Oryctolagus cuniculus: one gene and its partners. The protein of the gene in region 3 interacts with the protein of the main gene of each other region in a pairwise test. Links are inferred from orthologs where the notes say so. Each region holds a gene or a part of one and is shown on either strand. Other genes may lie near its edges.

Region 1 (3,746 bases), on a different chromosome or scaffold from region 3:
AGGCTGCAAATGTTGGGGCTGAGCGCTAGCCCCCTCCCCCTGCTGCTCTGGCTTGGCTACTCCCTCCGCCTGACTCAGCTCCGTTCTCTTCTCTCCAGACCCCAACTAGAAACAGATGTGACCTTCCCATCGTAGTAACCTCAGTTCAGGGATTGGCCAGAGGCATGGTTGGTGGGAGCTGGAAAGGGTGAGTGGGCTGGCTCAGTGCCACAGCCCCGCCCTCCAAGCCCTGGTGGTCTCCTTCCCTGCCTGGGCCCCACCCCTGTCCTCTGGGTCACACGCATGCCTGCACACACACACACACACACCCTCAGTCACTCCTGCTCCCTCCCAGCCTTCACTCCTGGGATCTGCAACCCAGCAGCTCAAGTCCCAGCACCCCCAGCCCTACCCCCCCCCACCACCACACACACATCCCTCAGCCCCCAACCCCACACGCCCCCAGAGTCACAGACTGAGAGCCTCACAGGTGTTAAGACTCTTTATTAAAGTTGCTCAGCGTGGTGCACATGTCTCAAGGGGCGGGACTAAGGTGCTGTGCCCACTGCAGACAGGGAAGACCCCAGCGGGCGGGCCCCCCAGCGGCATCTGAGGAGCCTTCACTTCTTCCGGGGCTGCTTATCAGGGAAACCTTCGAAGAACTCATTGCACATCATGGCGATGCAGGACAGGAAGACGCAGTACTCCTGGAAGTCCACCTCGTTGTCCTTGTTGCTGTCCAAGTTGCTCATCAGCTTCTGGAACGCGGCTTCGTCCGTCCTTTTCTGGAGGGAGAAAGCAGAAGCCACGGGGGTAGAGCAGGGCTAGACCAGTTTGGCACCTGCAGCTCTCCTGTGGGGGGCCCAGCCTCGGACCCCAACCCTCAGGGCCACACCAGCGCCAACGGGAGTACTCCTTGGATGGGGACGTCTGAGGACCTGGTGCAGGTGCAAAACGAAGTGACCACACGCCTTCCCTAGAGGTTGTCCTCATGATCCAGTGAGGTAATGATCATGACAGCATATGCCAGCTACTGCAGAAAGTTTGTGGAAACAGAATTTTTTTTTTTATTTGAAAGGCATAGTTATAGAGGGAGAGACAGAGAGAGCTCTTCCATGTGCCGGCTTACTCCCCAGATGGCTTCAACTGCCAAGGCTGGGACAGGCCACAGTCAGGAGCCTGGAACTCCATCTGGGTCTTTCATGTGGGTGACAAGGGACCAAGTACCTGGGCCAACTTCTGCCACTTTCCCGGCACATTAACAGGGAGCTGGGTTGGAAGCAAAGCACCAGGGACTTGAACTGGGGCCCATATGGAATGCCAGCATTGCAGGCGGAAGTTTAACCTACTGTACCACCATGCCCAGCCCCGGAAATATAATTTAAAAATAAGTTCCTTTTGGTACAAAAATGTTTGAAACCCATGCTTCCCAAGACTCTCCAAAGGGTTCATGAAAATGAGTATTATTTTTAAAACTATAGATTTCAAAATTTTGCACCAAAATAAACTTGCTTTTTCATGCCACTTCCCATGAACTTTTTGCAATACCCTCTTGTAAATGGTGGACTGCTTGATGCAGGTGTAGACGCTGTTGTTGGGGGGGACATCTTAGGTGTGTTGAGTCTCTATACCTGTGTCTGCACATCTATGAGCCAAATGGAAACTCCAGCCCTTCACTGTTGGAGTGAAGAATGGGCAGTCGGCGGTCTTAGTCCAGACCAGTTTTGTACATGCACTACCTTGGGAAATACTTAACTCTGAGTTTTTTGTTTTTGTTTTTTTCCCTTTCACTTAAGATGTACAGAGCACCTGACAGAGGGTCTGGCCCCTAACCTCCCTGTTCTCTCTCAGCCTTCTTTCTGCTGGGGCCGTGTTTGCACCCCATGCAGGCTCCCTGCTCCCCAGTTTCCCCACACAGTCAGAAACACCAGCTTTAGCTGATATTCCACAAAAAGCCTGCAGCCTCATAGAGCCTGCGCCTCCCCTGCAGGGGGTTGGGGGCTGGGGATGGGGGAGGGTGCTTGCTCCCAGGGGACCCACTCACCCCCAAGAAGCTGGGCAGCTCCCGGGTCAGCAGCTCCTTTAGCTCCGACTTGTTGAGCTTGAACTTGTCACCCTCTTTCCCCGAGTACTTGTGGAAGGTGGCCACCATCACGTCCAGGGCTTTCTCCAGGGGGCACGCCATGGCAGCGGTCAGGATCTGAGGGCGGGAGGCACGGGCACCCTTATCCTCCCCTGCTCCCCAGCCATGTGTTCCGAATGCCCGCCTGCACTCCCATCCCTCAAGAGGCCCTTGATGACACTTCTCTGGCCCTCGGGGACACCCAGAGAGGCGGGCACAGCTATTGGTGGGGAGGGGTGCGGGGGGGGGGAATGCATACTTGGGACCGTGGACTTTTGTGGGGTTCGTGGCATGGGCTCCAGGGAGCCAGGCAGCAAGCTCCGGAGGTGGCTGCAGGCCTCATCCCAACAACAGCGTTCTTCCACCCCTCCCTCACCCGTCCACTCCCACAGCTCAGCCACAACGGCCGCCCCAGCCCATTCTTCTCCCTCCCAGCGCTGGGCGCGGCAGCTAGAGGCCTGCATGGGGGCCTGCAGCGGAAAAAACCGGCAGCCTGGCACCCAGCCCGTCATTGGGAGGGGCCGGTGAGGTGGCGGAGGCAGGGGTGCCAGGGCTGGGTGGGAGGCCAGGGCTCTGCCGGGCTGAGCTGCCGGGTGCAGAGCAGGGGCTCACAGAGCGGGAGCAGAGGAAGCCCTCGGTTGCCTTTGCTTTCTTCCTGCACCCGAGGGTGCACACTTGTGCAGCCCAGCAACCCCGCAGCAGGGTGCACATCTCCAGCTCAGGCACACACTGCACAAGCCCCAGTTTCTCAGAAGGGCTGGGGCGGGGAGGGGGCGCTCAAACCCAGCTGCTGCACACTTTTCTTCTTGCCTTTTCTCTCTTCCATGCACCCCAGAGCCTGTGCATCTGGGTCCATTCAGCACATCTGGCCCCCACCAGGCTGTCCTTCCCCCACCCAGCCTCAGCCCGTGACACCCTCGCGTGCCAGTCAGGCCCACAGAACTCACCAAGCCGAGAGAGGAAGCACAGAGGAGGAGGGCTGGGGAGAGAGGAAGAGCGGGGAGAGCCCAGCGGTCTGACTATTTATACCCCAGCCAGGCCCTGCCCCTGGCAAGGGGATGGGGGAGCGCACACTGCCCTCCTGCTGTGGGCTGATGTGGTGAGTCGGGCAGCCCCTCCATGGCCTCAGCCGGCTGCCGGGCATCCTGACCCGGCCAGGCCCCCATGGGCAGTGGGCCAGCCCCAGTGGGCACCAGCAGGGAGCTGATGGAGCAGGCACCACCCAGTGCACACAGCCCAGCAAGAGTTTCAGGGAGCCGGGGAGGGAGGGCAGTGCCTGGGGCTGGGGGCTGCAGAGGAAGTAGTCCCAGCGGCCATGAGAAAAGGAGAGGCAGGGGTGGCAGGTGGCTGGTGGCAGGTGTGAGATGGCCCAGGTACATCAAGGGGCGAGGTCCTGGTGGAGTGGGGGTGGGAGTGCAGTGTGGGGCTCAGTATGGCTTGTGACTCACAGAGTAGGCAGGAGGGGGTGTGTGGGGTTGAGGGGGGCGTCAGGGATGAATATTGCAGTTTGGGGTGCAGAGATAGAGGTGACATGGCACAACACGGGGGAGTCAGGTTCAGGGATGACCCCTCAGGGTGGGGCACAGGGGGTCCAGGGGTGAGTGAGGGGCAGCAGAGGGGGCTTAAGGGCCTCAGCGGGTTGTGG
Region 2 (3,646 bases), on a different chromosome or scaffold from region 3:
ACACTGCATTCAGCTCACGTCCCAGTGGCTTGGCCATGCCACGCTGAAGGGAGTCTGGGAGGCGTGGCCTTCCACTGGGCCAGATAAGACTGTGGGCGGGGTGACCCTGCACTTGAGAGAGATGCATTGCTCTAGGGCTCTCGTGATGATCCTTCCCGTCCACAGGCATGGATACCCTGAACAGTGCCATAGAAAGTCTCATGACCTCGTCCGACAAGGAGGCATGGCCGTCGGTGAACATGAACGTAGCTGATGCTACTGTGACGGTCATCAGTGAGAAGGTGAGCAGGAATCACAGATGGCCTTGGACTGGATGCAAGGGAGCTTTCAAGGCTTGCCCTCCTGGGAGTCATGTTTACTTGGGACTAAAATGGCCTTCAGGGCAGGTGCTTGGCATAGCGGTTAAGACACCAGTCAGTGCACCTGTGTCCCATGTCACAGTGCCCGGGTGCAGTCCTGACCCCGCTTCCCTTCCAGCTTCCTTAATGCAGACACTGGGAGGTAGCAGTGATGGCTCAAATACTTGGGTTCCTGCCACCCCTGTAGGAGACCTGCATGGAGTCCTGTCGTAGGCTCCTGGCTTTGGCCCGGCCCAGCTCTGGCTCTTGTGGGTTTTGGGGGAGTGAAATATCAGATGGAAGATCTCTCTCTCTCTCTCTCTCTCTCGGTCTCTCTCTCTCTGTCTCTGTGTGTGTTAATGCATGTCTATCTCTCAGGTCAATTAACTGATTAAAATGAAGTGATTAAATGGTCTTATTTTTAGCCCTTTCTCTCGGTCTAAAGCTGAGCCCCTGTGCTTCCCTGGGGCTTAGAGACTTGGCTTCTGGTGCTTCTGATTCTGACGTCTCCACGGGCCCCCGAGGTCAGAGCCATGTGCCCAGGGTGACTGAGTGGTGCTGACTGGAGCTCCCCCGGGAGCTGGGGTTCCAGTCCTCGCTAGTGCTTCAGCACTGACTTAGCTGTGCCGCCTGGGGTCAGGGCTCAAAGTCGCATCCCCTAGGGAAGGTCCTTGGTGCTGTCGGCAGGGGTCAGTGTCCTGCGGAGAGGCCAGTGTCAGCCTCAGCCCAGCTTAGCCCAGTGCTGTGGCTGAGGAAGCGGAAGCCCAGAGACGTGAAGCAACTTGGCCCGTGCCACACAGTTGTCCAGCCCAATTGTGGAAAGGCCTGCCCTGTCGTCCCTGCACGGGTCACCTTCACGCCCGGGTCACCCTCTGCAGAGCACAGGCGCCCACTGGCTGCCATGCCGGTTCCTTCAGCCCCTTCCTACCCGGGCCTGCCATGCTCCTCCCCTTGCCACCCTACCGTACCCCCATCTCAGCTCCTTAGGAAAACGCCCTCATATCTTAGAGCAGTATAGTTTGTTAACCGCTCCAATAGAATCCAAGTGAAAGCTCAATAGGTCAAGATGATAATGGCCCGAAAGTCAACATTCTGGATGTGTCGACTGATTCAAACCTTGCATCTCGGGGTGACTGCTGTGGCACTAAGACATTCACATCCCCGTATCAGAGAGCCTGGGCCTGCGTCCCACATCCACTTCTGACCCGGGCTTGGTGGCTCAAGTGATTGGGTTCCTGTTACTCACATGAGAGACCTGGATTGAGCTCCCAGCTCCCAGCTCCCAGCTCCCAGCTCTGGCCCCTGGCCTGAAGCCATTGTGGGTATCTGGGGAGTTATACAGTGAATTGGAGCTGTCTGTCTCTCCCTCTGCTTCTCTTCCTCTGAAATAAATTAATTGCATGTGGTCAGTGCAGAAGAGGTAATGTTTATGACCATAAGGTTGAATTCTCCAAGCAGTTCACACGACTTCATGTGGATACTGATTTGCAAGAAAGGGAAAACATGATTGGGCAACTTTTCGTTTGACCTGGTTTTCGGTAGGATGTGATTGAATGGGACTTTGTTTAGCTTGGGTTGGGAGACTAGAGGAAGAGAAACACAGTGAATATTTTACTTGGGGCAGGGGGATGGGGGACTCACACAGGGCTTGAGCCGCTCGCTGTGCACCTGCCCGGGGCTGTGTGTAAGAGGTGTGTTTGCCACACGGAAACTCGGCAGCCCCGTGGCACACCATGACTGCAGCGTGTTCAGAGCGAGAGACGGAAAGCCAGGATGACGCTCACGGCTGGGCAGCCTGACCACGCAGCCGGCAAGGTATTGCTTTCCTGGAAAACACCCAGGTCCTTTCTGAGTTTGGTCGGGCAGTTGTCGTGTGCTGCCGCTCTGTTGCTGACCCACCCGTTCGTGGGGACTGCTGCCCGGCTTCCCAGGGACCCCGGGGCACTGAACGGTGTCTCTTGCAGAGCGAAGAGGAGATCTTGGTGGAGTGTCGCGTGCGGTTCCTGTCCTTCATGGGCGTGGGCAAGGACATCCACACATTTGCCTTCATCATGGACACTGGCAGCCAGCGCTTCGAGTGCCACGTATTCTGGTGCGAGCCCAACGCCGGGCACGTGTCTGAAGCGGTGCAGGCCGCCTGCATGGTGAGTAGTCCCAGCCCAATCGGGCACTCAGCCTCCCGGGTGCACAGAGTCAGTGCTGGCGGGCAGACACGTGGCCACGCCACACCTGTAAAGGCCAGTGGCCATACATACACATCAACATCTGTCACCAGCAGGCCATAAAGCCCATGCTGGTCCTGCGAGCTGATCACAGAGCCAGAAAGTTCAGTCCCCTGTGTTTGTATTTTAAGCTAAATGTTACTGCAAGAGTCCAAAAACTTCTTTTTTAAAGTTTATACGGCACAAGAGTTACAATAAGCTAAGATTAATTTATTATTGAAGAAAGAATACATTTTTTTATAAGCTCAGTGGAGAGGGGGCTGAGTGTGTTATGCCACCACTTGTGATACCTGTGTCCCATGTCGGAGTGCCGGTTTGAGTCCCAGGTGCCCCACTTCGGGTCAGTACTTGGCCTCTGCCACCCACATAGGAGATGTGGATACATCTCCCAGTTCCTGGCTTCAGCCTGGCCCAGCCCCAGCCTTTGCAGCTATTTAGGGGAGTGAACCAGCAGAAGGGAGATGTCTCTGTCTGTGTATCTCCCTCTTTGTCTGTCACTCTGCCTTTCAAGTAAACAAACAAACAAAAATCCACAAATCTTGAAAAATAAATGCAGTGTAGGCTGAGCGTGCGGTGTTTACAAAGTCCGCAGTGGCGGACAGCAATGTCCTGGGCCTTCCCGGTCACTCCCCACTCACTCGTGGACCCAAGCAGAGCAGCTCCAGGCCCTGTGAGCTGCACGCCCGGTCAGCGCCCTGCACGGGCGGCGTGGAACCATATCTGCTCGGTCCCGTTCCGTGTTAGATACAGACACTCCCCACCGAGCTCCAGTTGCCTAGACTAAGTCGCCGTGCGAGTTTGTGACATAGCTGCAGTAGGCAGTGCTTGTGCGAGCACGCTCCGCAACACTCGCACGAGGACACAGTCACCTGCCAGTGCGTCTCCCAGAACCAGTCCCCACGATCCAGCCACATGTGGCTGTGTTCACAGCAAGGTCTGGCCGAAGATCGAGTAGCCTCCTAATTGGTTAGCCGGTTCATCTGGGGACTGGTAGGGGCAGGTGCTAGGAACCAGGAGTAGATGGGGAAGTTGAGGGAGTCCCTGGTTGGTTGTCTGTGTACAGTCTGTGAGGGCACAAGGCCAAGA
Region 3 (3,646 bases):
GTAGCAGGACTAAGGGAAGTGGTGAGCAGGGTCATGGCCCCACCGTTGGGCAAGAAATGCTCATGACAGACAGGTGTTTATGGCTGGTGCTCAGTCTGGGACAGACTGCAGGGGAGGCTGAGGCAGAGGTCAGAGAGTGAGTGGTGGAGGCCGGATATGAAGGGGCTTTGCCACCAGGCAGAGGGGCTGCTGTAGGCAGCATGAACAAAAACTCTCCCAGGAGCTCCAGTGGGGCAGGAGTGGGGGAGTGAGGGGCGGGTGGGGAAGCTGGGTCTCACCAAGCAGTCGCTCTCCCGTGGGCCTGTGCAGCCAGCAGCACACTGGTTGTGGCAGCAGTCGCTGGGGGACTTGCCGCGGCAGCGTCCAGAGCACTGCTGGGCGCAGATGATTTTGGTCACTGGAAAAGAGCAAAGGTCACCTGTGAGCCCGGAGCGAGGGCACCAGTCACTTCTCAGAGAGTCTACACATCGCAGTGGACAAGTATCTGTGGACACAGTATCTGTGGCTCATCAAACTCCCAGGCAGCCACGTTCAGCCAAGCTGAGACGGTCAGGACACTCCTACTGCACCCTGCTTCCCACTGGTTTCTCTTCTCTCAGGAGTGCCGAGTGCTTCAAAATGACCTGGAAGTCACTAAATGCCACTGATCCTGGGTTCTGGTGACACACAAAGACCGGGAGAGGGACAGGAAGCCAGGCTCTCCTGCGAATGCCATCTCCTGTGCCCAGGGAGTGTGCTCAGCTTTCAGGGCACCAAAAATGGCAGTAGGACCACAGCTGAGTTTCACTATCTTCCACAAGGCAAAGACCACAGAGAGCCACGTGGCTGAGCTGTGGGACCTGGCAGTTTCATGCAGGAAGCAAACATTGGGCCCATGCTTGGACAGCTCTCTCAGTCTCGCAGGCCAGTGCACCTGCTCCTAAGGCCAAGGCGGGAGGGGTCGCCCTCCCACAGGGACTTAACCCAGCTTACGTCTCTGGCAGTTCTCGCCGCCTGCGCCCCAGCAGCTTCCATTGGGACAGCTTGGGTCACACTTCTGGCCTGAAACACAGGAGTGATAATGGCAGTCTGACCTGGTAGAAGCGAACGAATGATGAGAAGCTGACGACGCCTTTTCTGGAGACCTGACCTAAGTCAGTTCTAGCTAGGAGGCACAGCCTCTGACTGCATGTCTGCCTGGTTGGTCACAGGATGACTTGCAGATTCCCGGCAACCCACCAGCTGCTCGTATTTACCTCCCAGGTGTGGAAAATGAGGCAGGGGCAGTTACTGGCTCGGCACTCGGGCAGGGGCTATGTGAACTCCGAGGTCCAGACCCCTGCCTTGCTGAGGCTATGGTAATGAATGTTCTGGTGGCCCCACACATGCTGAGCATATCAGTGGCCCTTGCCATGTACCCAGGGTTTCCTTGATGTGTCCAGTCTTGAGTGACCCAGTGGGGCAGTCTGTCTGAGGCACTTGGAGCACCACATGAAATCAAAACCATCACCAGACCCTAGCAGAGCAGTATAGACTGAGCATGAAGGTTGTACAAGGTAACAGTGGATGTGACTTTGGGGCTATCTCAAACCTTAGCTGATGATTTACAAACTGCTACCTGGAAACCTTTGCAATTGGTCAAGTTGGTCAAGTTACATCACAGCAACATGGTTTTAATCTCCTTAGTTTTGTTTCTATTGGCACGGAGAAATCTGAAGACCAAAGTGGTGAAACAGCAGCTTGGTCACACTTGTCTTTCTAAAGAGCCCAGTCACACAGAGCTCACTCCCTGTATAGACACAGCTTCCTGTGGAACCCCGCGTCTCCAAGTCAGGAAGAAATTAGTCACCAGGAGAATCCGATTTCAAATGGAAAAGCAGATGATTGGCAAGTGGATTCTGAACCAGAACACCACTCCAACATGAGTGACTGATTTTAAAGTCACACCAGGACTAAAGGAAGGAAATGCATTGCTGGTGCTCCACAGAATCACAAAGATGGAAGACCAACGTCACACGGACAGTGTGGGCTACAGGTTGTGAAGAGAGAAGGGGAGAGAAAAGTGACGAGGAACAGAGAAAGCAAAAATAATACATAGAAGTGTTAAAAGTGGTTTTGATTACATAATGAAATTATGTTATTTTTACTTTTTACCCTATATTTCAATATTTTTCCAAATTTCTGGGGCAAATATTTGGCCTAGCAGTTAGGATGCTGGTTAGGGTGACCACATCCCACATTGGTGTGCCTAGACTCGAGTCCCCGCTCTGCTCCTGATTCCAGCTCCCTGCTAATGCACCCTGGGAAGCCGCAGATGATGGCTCAAGTACTTGGGTCCCTGCCACGCACATGGGAGGCACAGATGGAGTTCCTGGTTCCTGGCTTCAGCCTGGCTAAGCCCTAAGAGTTAAGTCATTTCAGAACAGTTTGTTGAATAATGAATTCTTCCCTTATTGGCATGAAAGCTCACTTCTTTATGGACTTCCAGTTTAACTTTCTTATTGTCTTATCCATGTTTATTCTATGTGACTGTCCTTCCATATTGGACTGCAGCTCAAAGCTTTGCAATATTTCAGTCTTGTTACTGCAGGAACCTCTCTTTCTTTGCTGACGTTTTCTGGATGGGTAATCCCCACATCCATGCTGTGGAGGATGTGGGCACTGAGGGCTCTCTTGTCTGGCCTATGACAAACCACTACTGGCTTCATTGCCTGCCTATGTCTGATTTTTTTTTTTTATAAGTGTACACAACTTAACCTTCTACTGTCTGTGAACTGGCTGAGGAAATGCTAACCTTGATCACACAAAGAACATAAAATTGTTCATTGTGAAAGAAGCTTTTGGCTTCTTGCAAGCATAGGGAGTGTCACTCTTGTAGACAAAAATGTTTATAACATGGGCTTAGCATGGATGTTAACAGCAGCATCGTGGAAACAGACAGGTGGTGGGAGTCACTCAAGCACCCATCGGTGGAAAAAGCAAGCATGGCAAAAACGTGGTGGGAAAACTCATGCAGCTACAAGAAGGAAATTCCAACACACGCTACAACAGACGATCGCGGAGCTACCACGCTTAAGTAAATGAAGCCAGTCACAGAAGGGCTGTGTGGCTCCAGCATGTGAGGCACTCAAGGGATCAATTCACAGAGGACAGCAAGGGGCCACCCAGGCCAGGAGCTGGCCAGGAGGCAGAACATGGGGTCACTGCTTCACTGCACAGACTTTCAGTTCTGCAGCAGGCACAGCATCCTGGAGAGGGAGGTGGTGCGGGCTGCACAGCAGTGTCACGGCAGCCACTGAATTTGAAAATGGTGGAGATGGCAGATTTCACACTGTGGCCTTTCATCCCCACAGGCAGGCAGAAGCTCTGCTTGGTGAGTTTGAGGATGTTGAAGATCCATGCTGGTTTCATTTGCTTTCAGGGCAAAAACCAAGCATCTGCTGCAGTCACAGGGATACAGAGAAGCAGGAAGTTGCTTCTTGCTGATGATGGAAAGAAGGGGCAAATGGAACCACGTGTCTTCAGAATTCTATGCAGCCCTGACCTCGGCCTGGTCCCCACGGGGCTCTCCTAGCATGGCTTCTCTGCTGATCAACTGGCAGGGACAAGCTCCCAAGCACCTAGGGAAAGTGGACAAACTTCCTCCCACGGACAGAGGTCAGTCTCA

The links.
Region 1: the proteins of EGFR (region 3) and protein S100-A4 interact in binary tests that used the Homo sapiens proteins (3 or more experiments, as listed by UniProt). The link is inferred for Oryctolagus cuniculus from reciprocal best matches to the Homo sapiens genes EGFR and S100A4.
Region 2: the proteins of EGFR (region 3) and APBB2 interact in binary tests that used the Homo sapiens proteins (3 or more experiments, as listed by UniProt). The link is inferred for Oryctolagus cuniculus from reciprocal best matches to the Homo sapiens genes EGFR and APBB2.

What each region holds. Positions count from the first base shown.
Region 1 is NC_091438.1:44,755,308-44,759,053, reverse strand, and holds protein S100-A4, read right to left. Parts: upstream 2,572-3,746; 5' UTR 2,445-2,571; coding exon 2,361-2,444; intron 2,180-2,360; coding exon 2,024-2,179; intron 765-2,023; coding exon 600-764; 3' UTR 469-599; downstream 1-468. UniProt on the Homo sapiens protein: Calcium-binding protein that plays a role in various cellular processes including motility, angiogenesis, cell differentiation, apoptosis, and autophagy.
Region 2 is NC_091433.1:34,560,961-34,564,606, reverse strand, and holds part of APBB2 (amyloid beta precursor protein binding family B member 2), read left to right. Parts: intron 1-165; coding exon 166-281; intron 282-2,302; coding exon 2,303-2,482; intron 2,483-3,646. UniProt on the Homo sapiens protein: Plays a role in the maintenance of lens transparency, and may also play a role in muscle cell strength. Involved in hippocampal neurite branching and neuromuscular junction formation, as a result plays a role in spatial memory functioning.
Region 3 is NC_091447.1:57,844,577-57,848,222, reverse strand, and holds part of EGFR (epidermal growth factor receptor), read right to left. Parts: intron 1,042-3,646; coding exon 973-1,041; intron 398-972; coding exon 279-397; intron 1-278. UniProt on the Homo sapiens protein: Receptor tyrosine kinase binding ligands of the EGF family and activating several signaling cascades to convert extracellular cues into appropriate cellular responses.